Regions from separate parts of the Mus musculus genome. Here regions 1 and 2 are each reported to be linked to region 3. Evidence: microRNA targets listed by miRTarBase, many of them from high-throughput screens and not tested one by one. Region 3 holds a microRNA gene; each other region holds the end of a gene's coding sequence.

Region 1 (4,232 bases), not on the chromosome of region 3:
CTTCTCATCAGCTCCTGCCTCCAGGTTCCTGCCCTGTTTGAATTCCTGCCTTGGCTTCCCTCAATGGACTGTGATGTGTGCGATATGTAAGCCAAATATAAACCCTTTTCTCCCTAAGTTGCTTTTGGTCATGTTGTTTCATCATAGCAATGGCCCTAAGAAGCAGAAATACAAAAATGTTAAAGCTGGAAGGGGCTTGCAGGTCATTTAGTCCAAAATAATTGTATAGATATGAGCGCTTAGGTGCAGAGGCAGTTACCTAGCTTGGGGATCTAATAGTGGCCAGGGACAGTTACCACATAGTGTTACATGGTCATGGCTCTGACTCAGCTCCAGGCTGAGGTGAGCATGATTTGTTGTTGAGGTCACTTCACTGGAAAGCCCTTGATTCAGTAACCCCCACCGTTTCTCTTTTATAGATAGCCATAGCAAACATTAGTTTGGGGCTCCAGTGAGCTGTCTTCAGTTACCTGTGAATTATAGTGAATACTATTTGGCTGTGTAGAATAAAGTCCACTTAGCCCATCTTATTACAGAAATACAAATGCCCCCAGTTGCCATTAAGACGTAATAATGGGAATAGGAAGTATAAAAGTGAGGACTGAATGTGAAAATATCATATGACTGACAGGATGTCTTTCCTGGTTAAGAACCTTCCAATTTGATCGGCCATGATGACACATCTCTTTAATCACAACACTCGGGGAGAAGTGGGCAAATAGCTGTGATTTTTAAGGCCGGTCTGGTCTACACAGAGTTTTCCAGGACAGCCAGGAATATAGAGAAAGACCCTGTCTCAGAAATAAGATAAAGTGAACCCTTCAAATAAAAATCAAATATCCTTTTCTTACTCTCAAGACACCTCCTTCAGAGGCCAGATCTGAGATGGGTCACCTGGGTAGCTTAGGGTGGCAGAATTCCAGGAGGCCATTGCCTCTGTCTGTCCTCTGTTTCCTCGATCCTCCACTGATGGGGTGCTGGGGGGAGTCTTGAAGAGTCTCAAGAACCCACTGGATATTCCTTACCAGGAATGAAGTCAAAGCTCCAAAACACACACACACACACACAAACACACACACACACACAAACACACTCCCCCACAAACACCCACACCCACACACCTACACTCACAAACATTTCCCCACACACAGACACACACATGCACACGCTTCTTTCTATTTTTCCTAGCAGCTCCACTCACTTTTCGACATTTCCCCCAAGAGACGATACATGTACATGGGAAACAACGGCAGAGAGAGAGAGGGAGAGAGAGAGAGAGAGAGAGAGAGAGAGAGAGAGAGAGAGAGAGTGTGTGTGTTTTAAATGTACATCAATAGAATGGGCTGTGGCAGATCCATACAGTGGAATATTATACAGTTGTGAAAGAGAAGTTAGTTAGAGCCACATGTCTGCATAAAGCTTAAATTTTTAATGTTGAAAAAAAATGTGTGATGCAATTTAAGAATTGAAGTAAAACTTGGAAACACACAAATACTCACTAGTGCTCAGGGATCAAATGATCATTTAGTAAAAATATAAAGGAAGGCTCAGAATAACAAATCAGAATGTAAGATCCTGGTCTTCTCAGTATAGGGCACAAGAAGAAAATTCAACTGTGGTCGTCAAGGTTTATTGAAGTTGGCAGAGGTTCATGGGTGTTTGATACACGAGATTTTTTTTCTGAATTTTATACATCTAAAATATTAATGTAAAGGAACAAAGAGAAACACTGGGCTGCCAACCCGATTGGAAAACGATTTATTTACCACTGTAAGATTTTGTGCTCCAAAGTGTAACCAGACATGTGACCACGATGTCTCATGCGACTTTTTGTGCTTTTATGTGGAATGGCATCACAAACACGCAGCATCTAACAACAGGAAACAGCAAGGGTAGAAACACTGCACAGGACCAACTTTCTCCTCCAAAGATTCCCACCTCAGTTCAGGCCAGACACTGCCCCTTCCCCCGGGGCCCCTTTACATCTGAGAGCTGCCCGCCTGAACAGCAGTCCCGGACTCCTCTTATCTGATGTTTCCGTTAAGGTGATAAGCTACTCACTCGCCCCCAGAGCCTTCTCTAATCAGAATGGACAGACACATGCACGGTCTTGGTGGACAAACACTCAACAAATAGATGCCTAGTTGTCCTGGGGAGAGGATTCACAGAGGACTGGGGTGAACTCCTAACCTCCCAGCAGTAGCCCAGCCTGGAATGGCCTCTCACTTTATTTCCACCTCTTTCCAGAAATCACTCCCTGGCAAAGACATAGAGAGGTTCCTTCCCAAGCTGATTCGGAGGTGACTTACAGGAATGGCTGGAAACAGATTAAGCCGATGTAAAAGGTGACTGAAAGTTTTTGGTTCCCAGTCTAACATCTCTGAGCAATTTACAGAGGAGGTTTTGGAGAAGAAGCACAGCCAACGGAGGAGCCAGGAAGTGCCACCAACTGACCAGTAACAATTGATGCCCGCTAAGATGCCTCTTGCTTACCTCCTGAAGCTGGACTGGCAAGCTCCCATGACATTGGTGCTGTGCTATAGGTGGCCACACTGAGGCGCTGTGGAGCAAGGAAGTAATGACAACTCGAATTCCGGCTCACAAGTATCTACCCCTGCAGCTAGCTACTTATTTGATTCCTAGTGGGGCATCTATTGGAAATATCAACAGGGGCAATCAAACCTAGCTTTTTGTTATTTCCAAGTTAAAGGACATGTCCCCCAAACTGGAGGGAGGCATGTTATCAAGAGACCACGTTTTCTCTTTAAAGTTCATCTACCTCCTCATTTACATAGCCAGATGGAACAAGCCAAGCTCAGAGCTACTTCGTCCTGAAGTACAGGCATACTGAGAAGAACAGGTCTGTCACATGGAGTCAGCTTGGGGGTGGGGGGGGGTGACATGACAGCTGTCCTCAGAATGCCGCAGACACTCCAGAGGAGTGGCAACCTAGGCCTGCCAGGGAACGGGCACTCTACGTGTGATAAAAAAAAAACAAACACAACCCACTCCAATCCCTTAAATAAAACAGTCAAAACACACAATGTAGCTCGAGAGTGGAATATGAACAGCAGAAATATAAAAAAGAAGAAATAAAGTAAGCAGAGAGTTCCTGCCTTCACACTGTCCTGGTGCTGGGCCCCCGGAGATCAAGAGGAAAGGCTGCCTGGATAGGGGAGAAGGGATCTTATCAAGCGCAGCCCCTCCTGCTCTGCTCCAGAACCCCTGTGCTAGCTAAGGACAGAGGCTTGTGTATTCCACCGGAACATCAGTGTGGCATGACCCCCCAGTGGCCCAGAGACCTGCTGGCCAGCCAGTGATTCTCAACCTTCCTAGTGCTGTGACCCTATAAGAAAGTTTCTTGTGTTTTGGTGATCTCCAACCACAGAATTGTTCTCATTGCTACTTTGTAACTGTAATTTTGCTACTGTTATGAATCATAATGTAAATATTTTTTGGAGATAGAGGGTTGTGATACACAGGTTAAGAACCACTGCTTCAGCTCAATGTGAGCAGGGGCTGCCGACTGAGGGTACCTGGCACATATCTTTTTCCATAACACAGATGAGCATGATACAGTCTTCTGAGTGCCAGTCCCACTCACTGTCCTGGCGCCACCGCTCACTTTTTAGTATTGGGAATACAGTAAGAGAGGAATGAGGTCTTGGCCTCAGCCAACACGTCTGCATCTGTCTTTGGGTATAGGCATGTGGACAGAGCACGAGGGATGACTGACAGCTGAGCCTGGAAGATGACTGTGTCCAAGAAAGACGGTCAGTGGCCGGTGGCAGGTGGCCGACTACAGGTGCAGTTGGTGCCACATGGCGATCTGCCGGCGTGGGTTTTTTAGCATCTCCTCCCAGTGGCTGCGCTCAGAGCCCGAGGCATGCAGGCCTAGGCTGCAGTGGCCCAGCTCGCAGCTCGGCCCCTCCTCGCCCTGGCCCAGCACCTCCAGCTCCACACTGGATGCCCGCAGCAAGTCATCCGGTAGCTCAAACATGATCATCTCGTTCCACACGGGGTTGATCTTGTGCTTGGCCCGTTTTGTCTGTTTCTTCTTCAGCTTCTGAGCCTGGTGTTTCAAGGTCACCTTGACAGACACATCTAGGGAGGGGTACAGAGAAAAGAAAGTTGTAGGGGAGCAAGTGAGCTGCTTCTTCTTGGGGTTTCCTACATCTCCACTGGACCGTGCATTCTCTCAACAGTATTAAGTATCTACCAGACGTCAGGAA
Region 2 (4,232 bases), not on the chromosome of region 3:
GTTTTTTTTTTAACACTATTCATTTCTTTTTTTTTCCTTTTTTTTTTAATTGGGTATTTATTTCATTTACATTTCTAATGCTATTCCAAAACTCCCCCACACGCTCCCCCACCCACCCACTCCCACTTCTTGGTCCTGGTGTTCCCTTGTACTGAGGCATATAAAGTTTGCACGACCAAGGGGCCTCTCTTTCCACTGATGGCTGACTAGGCCATCTTCTGATACATATGCAGCTAGAGACACGAGCTCCGGGGGGTGGGAGGGTGGGGGTGGTACTGGTTAGTTCATATTGTTGTTCCACCTATAGGATAAACTTTTTTTAACGTATGTGGTGTTTTACCTAAATGTTTGCCTATGTATCTCATTCATGCCTGCATGCAGGTCAGAAAAGAGCACCAGATTCCCTGATTCTGCAGATGCTTGGCAGCCACTATGTGGGTGCTGGGAATTGATCCCAGGAATCTCTGGAAGAGCGGTCAATGCTCTTAAGCACTGTGATGACTCCCTGTCCACCAGTTTTGAAATGGACTCTTTTATCAGGGAGTAGCTGACTACGATGTTCGGCCTCTTCTACCTGCCTGGCTTGATGTTTGTCTGCACATCAAGTTCCCTATCCATCATGGCTTCCATGGTGCTCAGTGTGAGCCTGCAGGTGCATACTGACATCTCCTGAAGGCGGCCTCCTGACAAGTGTCACACCGGCTGACTGCATCGGGGAACACCAAGTGTGAAGCACTACAGAGAGCCAAAATGAATGGTAAAGGAGATTTCTTTGACACGCTATTATGTAGCTCAACAAAAGGACCTGTGTCTAGAGTGGTGGCCCATGACTATAATCCCAGCAGGAGGCTGTAAAAGGAGGATCAGAGGAGTTCAAGGTCATCCTTGGCTACATGAGTTCAAGACCAGCACAGGCTAGTGAAGACTGCCTCATAAACAAAACAAGGCCTCTTGGTGGCACAAGCCTGCTACACACAGGGGCAGGAGGATCTCTGAATTCCAGGCCACCTGGTCTACATATGGAGCTCTAGGAAACATAGAGAGACTCTGTCTTAAACATCAAAAACAAAACAACAAACAAAAAAAAACCCAAAACCCAAAAGGCTGCAGGGTGTGGTGGCACACACCTTTAATCCCAGCACTCGGGAGTAAGAGGCAGGCGGATTTCTGAGTTCGAAGCCAGCCTAGTCTACAAAGTGAGTTCCAGGACAGCCAGGGCTATACAGAGAAACACTGTCTTGAAAAAAACAAAAACAAAAAAACAAAAAAACAAAAACCCCCAATGGCTGGAGTGCTCCAGTTAAGAGCAGTCACTTCTCTTCCAGAGGACTCAGAACATGCTTTCTTGTTTGAGACAGGGTTTCTCTGTGTAGCCCAGGCTGTCCTGGAACTCACTCTGTAGACCAGGCTGGCCTCGAACTCAGAGATCTGCCTGCCTCTGCCTCCCAAATGCTGGGATTAAGGGTGTCACTACCTAGTGGCAGTCACTTTTTTTTTTTTTTCTTTCTTTCCTGTTCTGGCCCTGCTCACTCAGCCCAAAGGTTTATTTATTTATTAATTAATTTATTTATTATATGTAAGTACACTGTAGCTGTCTTCAGATGCACCAGAAGAGGGCGTCAGATCTCATTATGGATGGTTGTGAGCCACCATGTGGTTGCTGGGATTTGAACTCAGGACCTTAGGACAGTCAGTGCTCTTAACTGCTGAACCATCTCTCCAGCCCCGTGGCAGTCACTTTTAAGGCTGTCAGTTCCAGGGTCTATTGTGTACATAGAGCTGTCCCACTCACGTTAGCAGCTGCTTCCACATCCCATAGTAATTTGAGTTCAGTTCCTGGAACCCACATACTGACAGAAGAACTAACTCCAGATAAGAGCCATGGAACTCATGCTCCCTGCCCCCACCATACACGTGCAAATTTAAAAGACAATACAAGGGTGTATCTGGGCCATGCTATAGACATCTCATCCAACCCAAACACTGACAGCCTCACCAGTGGACTTAAGAGTACTGCTTTTTCAGAAGCAGTGTATATGCCATTCACTGCAGTGCTGACGCTATAGCCTGGGCAAGATGAATGAAAATGACCAAGGCCTTTTTAGGGAATGTGACCAGACAAAAACAACACATATACAAAACCTAGACTGCCACCAGATCCTGACCAATCCAGGGCAGAGAGGAAGTGGACAGTTTCTAAACAAATGCTGACCTAGATTACATGGGCTGATAGGACTAGAGGGACTTAGAGAGTGCAGAGGAGCTATGGGCTTTGCAGAGAAGCTACGCAAAATACTGAAACTTTATTAGCAATCACAGTTATATCATTATTCATGATATTTTTCAATTATCTTTTCCCCCTGGGGTTGGTGCTAAGGATTCCCAGGCAAGCACTCTATCACGGAGCTGCACGCCAAGCCCAAACACTGCCGTGTTCTTGAACAGGAAGTCAATGATGCATCAAAGTGCACACTGCAGACACAAGGTAAAGTGCATTTCAGGGAACAAAGCACAGGCGGCAGTTGGTTCTCCATCCTCAGTGAGCCCTGGAGCAAGTGCCCACTGCGAGCCTTCAGTCATGCCGCTCTGCACGCTCCTGTCTCCAACAAGTGGTGCCAATGAGTCACACCCCAGGGGGCTGTGGCACCCATCACCACCAGTGCAGTATGCTCCTGACGGATTCTTCTGAGTGCTTTCACTTCTGAAGACTGGGTCAGTCCTGAGAGGCCCACGGAAGAAAGTGACTTTCGAGAAACAGCCCAGGAGATCAGCTGTCATTCTTTATAACCAGAGGAGTGCTGACTGAGTGTGAGGATCGCCTCAGCAGGGAGACTTCATCTTAGGCTCATCTTAAAACTCCCTCTGAACAAAGGGGAATCAGAACTCACAACTGCACTTACAGTTCTGGCCCTAGGGCTCTCAAAGCTGCTTCTGGTAAAGGAAGACTGTTCCCAGCTTGTCTAGCAGGAGACTCAAGGTCAGTCAGTGTCTTCCAGAACTCCCTCATACAGCAAGAGAAGGGTGGGCACAACCCACATTTTCTAAAATTCAGACATGGCACGGTGAGTTGGGCATTAGCTGTGTGGTAATTGATTTTGTTACCACAGGCTCCAACAGCGGGCCGGGCACACTGTGGTGGGCTAGGGTCAGCGCCTTCTGTTTGCTTTTAACATCCACAGCACTGGCTGTGCACGCTTCGCATGCACCATACCACCGAGCTACACCTCTGGTCCTGATACTGTTTCTGTTTTAGATTTTACTATTACATTGATTTGTGTTTGGGCAGGGATTCCCATGTGCCATAGTTCATGTGTGGAGGTAAGAGGACAGGTAGTGAGAGCTCTGTTCTCTGCTTGTACCCCTCAGACTGCCAGGTATAATGGCAAGCATCTTGACCTGGCGAGCTGTCTCTCAGCCCCAACACTATTTTTGATGAGAGGCTCTGGCACGTCTTTCTAAAACGCTAAGAACAGGCTTTGCCTCCATTAGCTGACCACCTGAAAAGGGTGGAAAAAACCTATCTCCAACCCTTCCTCCGACTCCCTGGCTTTTAATCTACAATTCTAGGACATCTACGTCTTTAGAGCAAGGTGTGTGGGGGCTAAGGTTAGGCATTCCCATCAAAAGGCATCTTTGATGTTCTTGAGCTGGCGCACGGCCAAGTCTACAGGAAGGCTGAACTTGAGGCTGCTAAGGCGGCTGAGCAGGTTGAGGGCACTCTCAAAACCTGTGTGGGCCATGTAGCTCCAGGGCTGGTAATGGGGCTCGATGAGGGACCCTGACTTGCAGATGAGGTTCACCCAGGACACCAGGCGCTGCTCATTCAGTGCCATGCACACCAACGCCTTCAGTTCTGAGTCAGCGCTGCGCTTGAAAGGGTCATGCTCTGTCAGCACCAGGTGGATGGCTGTCAGAAGGCTCTGTTTGGGGGTCACAGCAGTGTCACCCATTATAGGCAGAGCAAAGGACTGTGAGAGCTTCCGGGCCGGGGATTCCACATATGCACGGCCATTCTTGGCATGGTAGTACTTTACAAAGAGCTCCCATGGGTGCATGGTCTCGGGGGCTGAGGAGAAAACTGGCAACAAGCAAGCAAGGGGGGCCATGACAAGGCTCATCCCAGAGGAGGAGGCATACAGTCCATGGGCCAGCAGGTCCCTCACAGCCACTGTCAGCTCCTTCCGCACAACCGTGGTCAGCTCATCCTTGCCTCCCAGAGAGAGGTCCTGGAG
Region 3 (4,000 bases):
CAGTGATAAGACGACCCAACTAGAAATCTGAAGTTGATCTAAACACAATGTTCATAGGAACTGCAAGTCTTTCTGACTTTTCTTTCTTTTAAGGCATATGTTTACATTATTTGTTAAGCCATTTGTTAAAGCTACCTAGCAAACACACAAAGGAAGTTTCTTTGTCTTAACAGGCAAGGAAAATGCTTGAGTTTCCTGGTTGCTTCTAATATTTAATTGTAAAATCACTTTTGAGTCACTTCTATTAAGTAAAATCACTAAATCAGGCAACCTGGAGAAAAAGTAAGAGACTAAAACTTAAAGATTTCTCAAATTGCTTCCAATTTGAGAGCTAACATTCCTTAGGATTTACTTGAATCAAAAGGAATTTCTAAGAAGAAAAAAACACCCCATGGAAGCAATTTATTTATTTACATACATTTAACATGTAGATGTATCTTCAAACAGCTAGGGCTCCTCCAGAGAAGCACAATGCATCTCCTGGCTCTGTGGGAGCGCTCATTGTTACCCTAATCTGTGCCATCAAACGGGCAGATAGGAGATTTTTTTTAAAGAGGAGGATATCTTGTGGTAATGGTTTTAGCAGTTAACATTGACATCTGTTTACTTCAAAAAAGGAAAAAAAAAAAAAAAATCCAGACCTACCCAGGTCCCCAGGACCTACTTTCCCCAGAGCTGATACATTAAAATAACAAAGGGTCTTGTAATGATTCTCAGAGATAGAAAGCCAAAAGGAACTCAGGAGTTAGGAGTAGTATAAATACAAGTGGTCTAAAGTCGGCGTCTTTCACCCTCCGAGGACAGAACAGGACTCTTTGGGAGGCGGTCACGAAGGTAAAGGAGGTAAAGCTTATGTCTGTAACCGGGTCACTTTACTTTCCTGTGGGTTTGCTCTTCTGTTTTAACTAGTTGCCTTGTGGGTGGGTTCCCTTCAACTTTAACATGGGAATGCTTTCTGTCTCATCGAAGAGTAAGTGCTTCCATGTTTTAGTAGAAGTGAATTCAAGAAACTCTGGAATAAGAAAGCTAGCCTTTTAATTCAGAGTCTGATGGGAGTCCCCTCTGCTTTAACATGGGGTTACCTGCTGTGTTAAACAAAAGCAAGTGCTTCCATGTTTCAGTGGGGGTGTCTTAAACTGTTCAACATTTTCTCTAAGATGCTGTAGGTTAAGGGAGTTATTGACTGGGCTTCCCACCACTTAAACGTGGTTGTACTTGCTTTAGACCTAAGAAAGTAAGTGCTTCCATGTTTTGGTGATGGTATGTTTTCCTTTATATTCATGCCTTTGTAAAGACCACTCAAGTCTGCTTAAGGGGCCTCCTTTACTTTAACATGGAGGCACTTGCTGTGCATTTAAAAATAAGTGCTTCCATGTTTGAGTGTGGTGGCTCCTACTTAATCTTCATTGTGCTGCATATAGATAGACCAAGGCCGTCACTGTTGCTAACATGCAACTCTGTTGAATAGAAATTGGAATTGCACTTTAGCAATGGTGATGGACCTGTGTCAGTGGCCACTTACTTGGACAGCACTCTCAATGGTATAACCTCCTCGCCCATCTTATGTCTCTCCTTGTGTTTCTTCTTATGCTTCCTCTTCACCTTTGAGAGTGAGTCACCTTTTCTGTCTGTCTCCTTCTCCTCCTCAGTAGAGCAGAATTCTAAGTCTAGAAAAAAGATTTCCGTAAGTCCGTTGTTGTGGTTAAACTGGTTAAAACATTTGTAACCCTACTGCCACGGTACCTCTGCTCTCCTTGGAGACCTCGGAAGCTGCTTGGCCGACGCCATCCTTCTGAGCCCTTTTCTTAGCTTTTGGCCTTGGGGGGAGGCAGTCTTCGTCCTCGGCGCTGCACCTCTCCCTCTTCCCTGCCCTGGCTTCAGGTAAGCTGGATGCTTCCACCTTGTCCCGCTTCTTCTTTTTCTTTGCAGGTTGCTTTGGAGCTTCCGGGGTTTCTGCTTCGGAGCCCTCAGAGGCCGTCCTTGGTCTCTTCGTGGCTTTACACACGCCCGAGCTGCTGCTGTCCACGGCCGACTCTTTGGCCTGCACACTCTCTTCCTTCTTTATTCTGCCTTTTTTCTTTTTCTTCTTTTTCTTCTCTTCTGTAACAAGATTTTATTATTTACAGTCATAATAGTTTATTGTTTACTTGGCCACTCTAAGTAAGCACTCACCTGCTACTCGTAAGGAAGGGATGGGCTTGTTTTTCACTGTCTTGGGAAATATACCAGGCTTTCTAGGTGCTTCTTCTGGTGGGTTGTTCAGAAACTGAAAAGATTGATTGCAGAATTTGTTACTCTTGTTAACCCTGTGCTTTTTCTTTACTTTTCAGGGTCCCACAGAAGTACGTACCTCAATGGCTTTTGCTGCTTGCTCTTTTGTTTCAAATTCCACAAAGGCAAATCCCTTAGGATCCCCAGTAGACTTGTAATGTGGAATACTTATGTAAACCACATTGCCACATTTCCCAAATACTCTCTCAATCCAGCTATGAGTAACATTTTTGGGGAGCAACTCCTGTAATAAATCATGGTATGAACATTTTAAAGTTCCTACATTTTTACCAATAAATGAATTATAAATAAATGAACTAGAATTAAAATTTGTGTCATTTCTTACCACATATACCGTGCGTTCCTCCTCGTCCTTTGGTCTCTCACCTAGGGGTTTTTTCCTCCTGATTCTGGTCCCTTCTAAGTCCAACTTTATGAGGGGGGAAAAAAAAAGGAAAGCTAAATAAAGTCAGTAGTTAATTGGATGTGGGTGACTTGAAATGTAAGTTTTTTACCTCTACAACAGATGAGCTTTTCAATGCTCTGGCTATTAGCTTCCCATCAGTTGTCAGCTTCTTCATTTTGTTAAAAGACACCAGGAGAGAAATGTCCACATCTAGTAAATAGGATAGTGGGATGTTAAACACTGGAATATATACATGTGTGCAAACAAGCACGAGTTCAACATGCAGTTGTGTGTCATGAACATATACAGTACTGAGCTCTCAGGAGGCTCTGGCCCCATATAAATGTGAGTTGGAAATTCCAACAAAGACAAAAAACTTACATCCATCTCTAGACTTTTCAATTTGCTCTCGCAGAAACTTGTCCTTGTGAAGGTTTGCATCTCCAAACCAGAAGTCCACCTGCTTAGCAATATCTGCAAGCACCTGTTTAACCCGGGAGCGCTTCTTTTTTTCTTCTTTTCTCTTAGTGCTTTCTTCCATAGTTTTTTGGTTTTCAGTTTCCATTCTGAGAGGGGAAAAAACAAAAATGCCAAACTGTAAAGTGCCTAAATGCCCCTGTCACCTGAACCTTCCTGCTGCAGGAATTCCTGCTGCAGGACGCCATCTCACTGACATCAGTAAGGATGTTTTTAAAGCTGGTCTGTCAGGCAAGTGCAAATTCTGTAGTAAATTCAAGTAGTAAAACCTCTACCTCAAAAGATGGCCTAGTCAGCCACCACTGGAAAGAGAGGCCCTTTGGACTTGTAAACTTTATATGCCCCAGTACAGGGGAACGCCAAGGCCAAAAAGGGGGAGTGGGTGGGTAGGGGATTGGGGGGGTGGGTATGGGGGACTTTTGGGATAGCATTGGAAATGTAAACGAGGAAAATACCTAATTAAAAAAAAGAGGAAAAAAAAACCCTCTACCTGATAATTACTAATTAAGTACATTGTAGCCCTATGGGGGGGGGGGGAGGGCTGGAGAGATGAACTGCTCCTGAGTTCAATTCCCAGCAACCACATGGTGCCTCACAACCATCTATAATCTGTAAGGGGATCTGCCGCCCTCTTCTGGCGTGTCTGAAGACAGCTACAGTGTACTTGTCTTTAAAAAATAGGTGAATACTGGATCTCATCTCAGGTTTTCAACTCACCGTATCCTTCCAGGCTTTCATTCCTACCATTTAAGCGGAACCCCAATGAGCTCAGTGTTTGCCTAATGCCAACAGTTACCTGACCTCTTCATCTGGCTTTAAGTTTGCCTTTTCTGGATCCTTCCAGAA

The links. Region 3 holds the annotated microRNA mmu-miR-302c-3p (AAGUGCUUCCAUGUUUCAGUGG, at 1,103-1,124, shown strand). A microRNA usually pairs through its seed, bases 2 to 8, with sites in the 3' UTR of a target mRNA and lowers its output. Matches are read on the target gene's strand: a 7mer-m8 pairs with bases 2 to 8, a 7mer-A1 pairs with bases 2 to 7 and ends in A, and an 8mer does both.
Region 1: miRTarBase lists Syt13 as a target of mmu-miR-302c-3p. Seed matches in the 3' UTR shown: 7mer-A1 at 3,334-3,340 and 7mer-A1 at 1,500-1,506.
Region 2: the mRNA of Rundc1 is a reported target of mmu-miR-302c-3p. Seed matches in the 3' UTR shown: 7mer-m8 at 2,689-2,695.

The regions. Positions count from the first base shown.
Region 1 is chr2:92,953,235-92,957,466 of GRCm38, reverse strand. Syt13 (synaptotagmin XIII) reads right to left here. Exons shown (of 6, transcript NM_030725.4): 6 at 1,416-4,104. The coding sequence ends at 3,800. Among named protein-coding and RNA genes, the nearest start is that of Gm13791, 35 kb to the right of the region's middle.
Region 2 is chr11:101,433,706-101,437,937 of GRCm38, reverse strand. Rundc1 (RUN domain containing 1) reads right to left here. Exons shown (of 5, transcript NM_172566.4): 5 at 2,272-4,232. The coding sequence ends at 3,621. Among named protein-coding and RNA genes, the nearest start is that of Rpl27, 6.4 kb to the left of the region's middle.
Region 3 is chr3:127,544,304-127,548,303 of GRCm38, forward strand. Mir302c (microRNA 302c) reads left to right here and starts at 1,060; the gene lies at 1,060-1,127. Larp7 (La ribonucleoprotein domain family, member 7) reads right to left here. Exons shown (of 13, transcript NM_138593.2): 2 at 3,059-3,243; 3 at 2,787-2,887; 4 at 2,618-2,701; 5 at 2,351-2,515; 6 at 2,173-2,266; 7 at 1,744-2,100; 8 at 1,523-1,667. The coding sequence starts at 3,242. It overlaps Gm51018 (predicted gene, 51018), which reads left to right and starts at 786. Exons shown (of 2, transcript NR_146435.1): 1 at 786-843; 2 at 2,331-2,600. Mir302b (microRNA 302b) reads left to right here and starts at 925; the gene lies at 925-998. It also overlaps Mir302a, Mir302d and Mir367.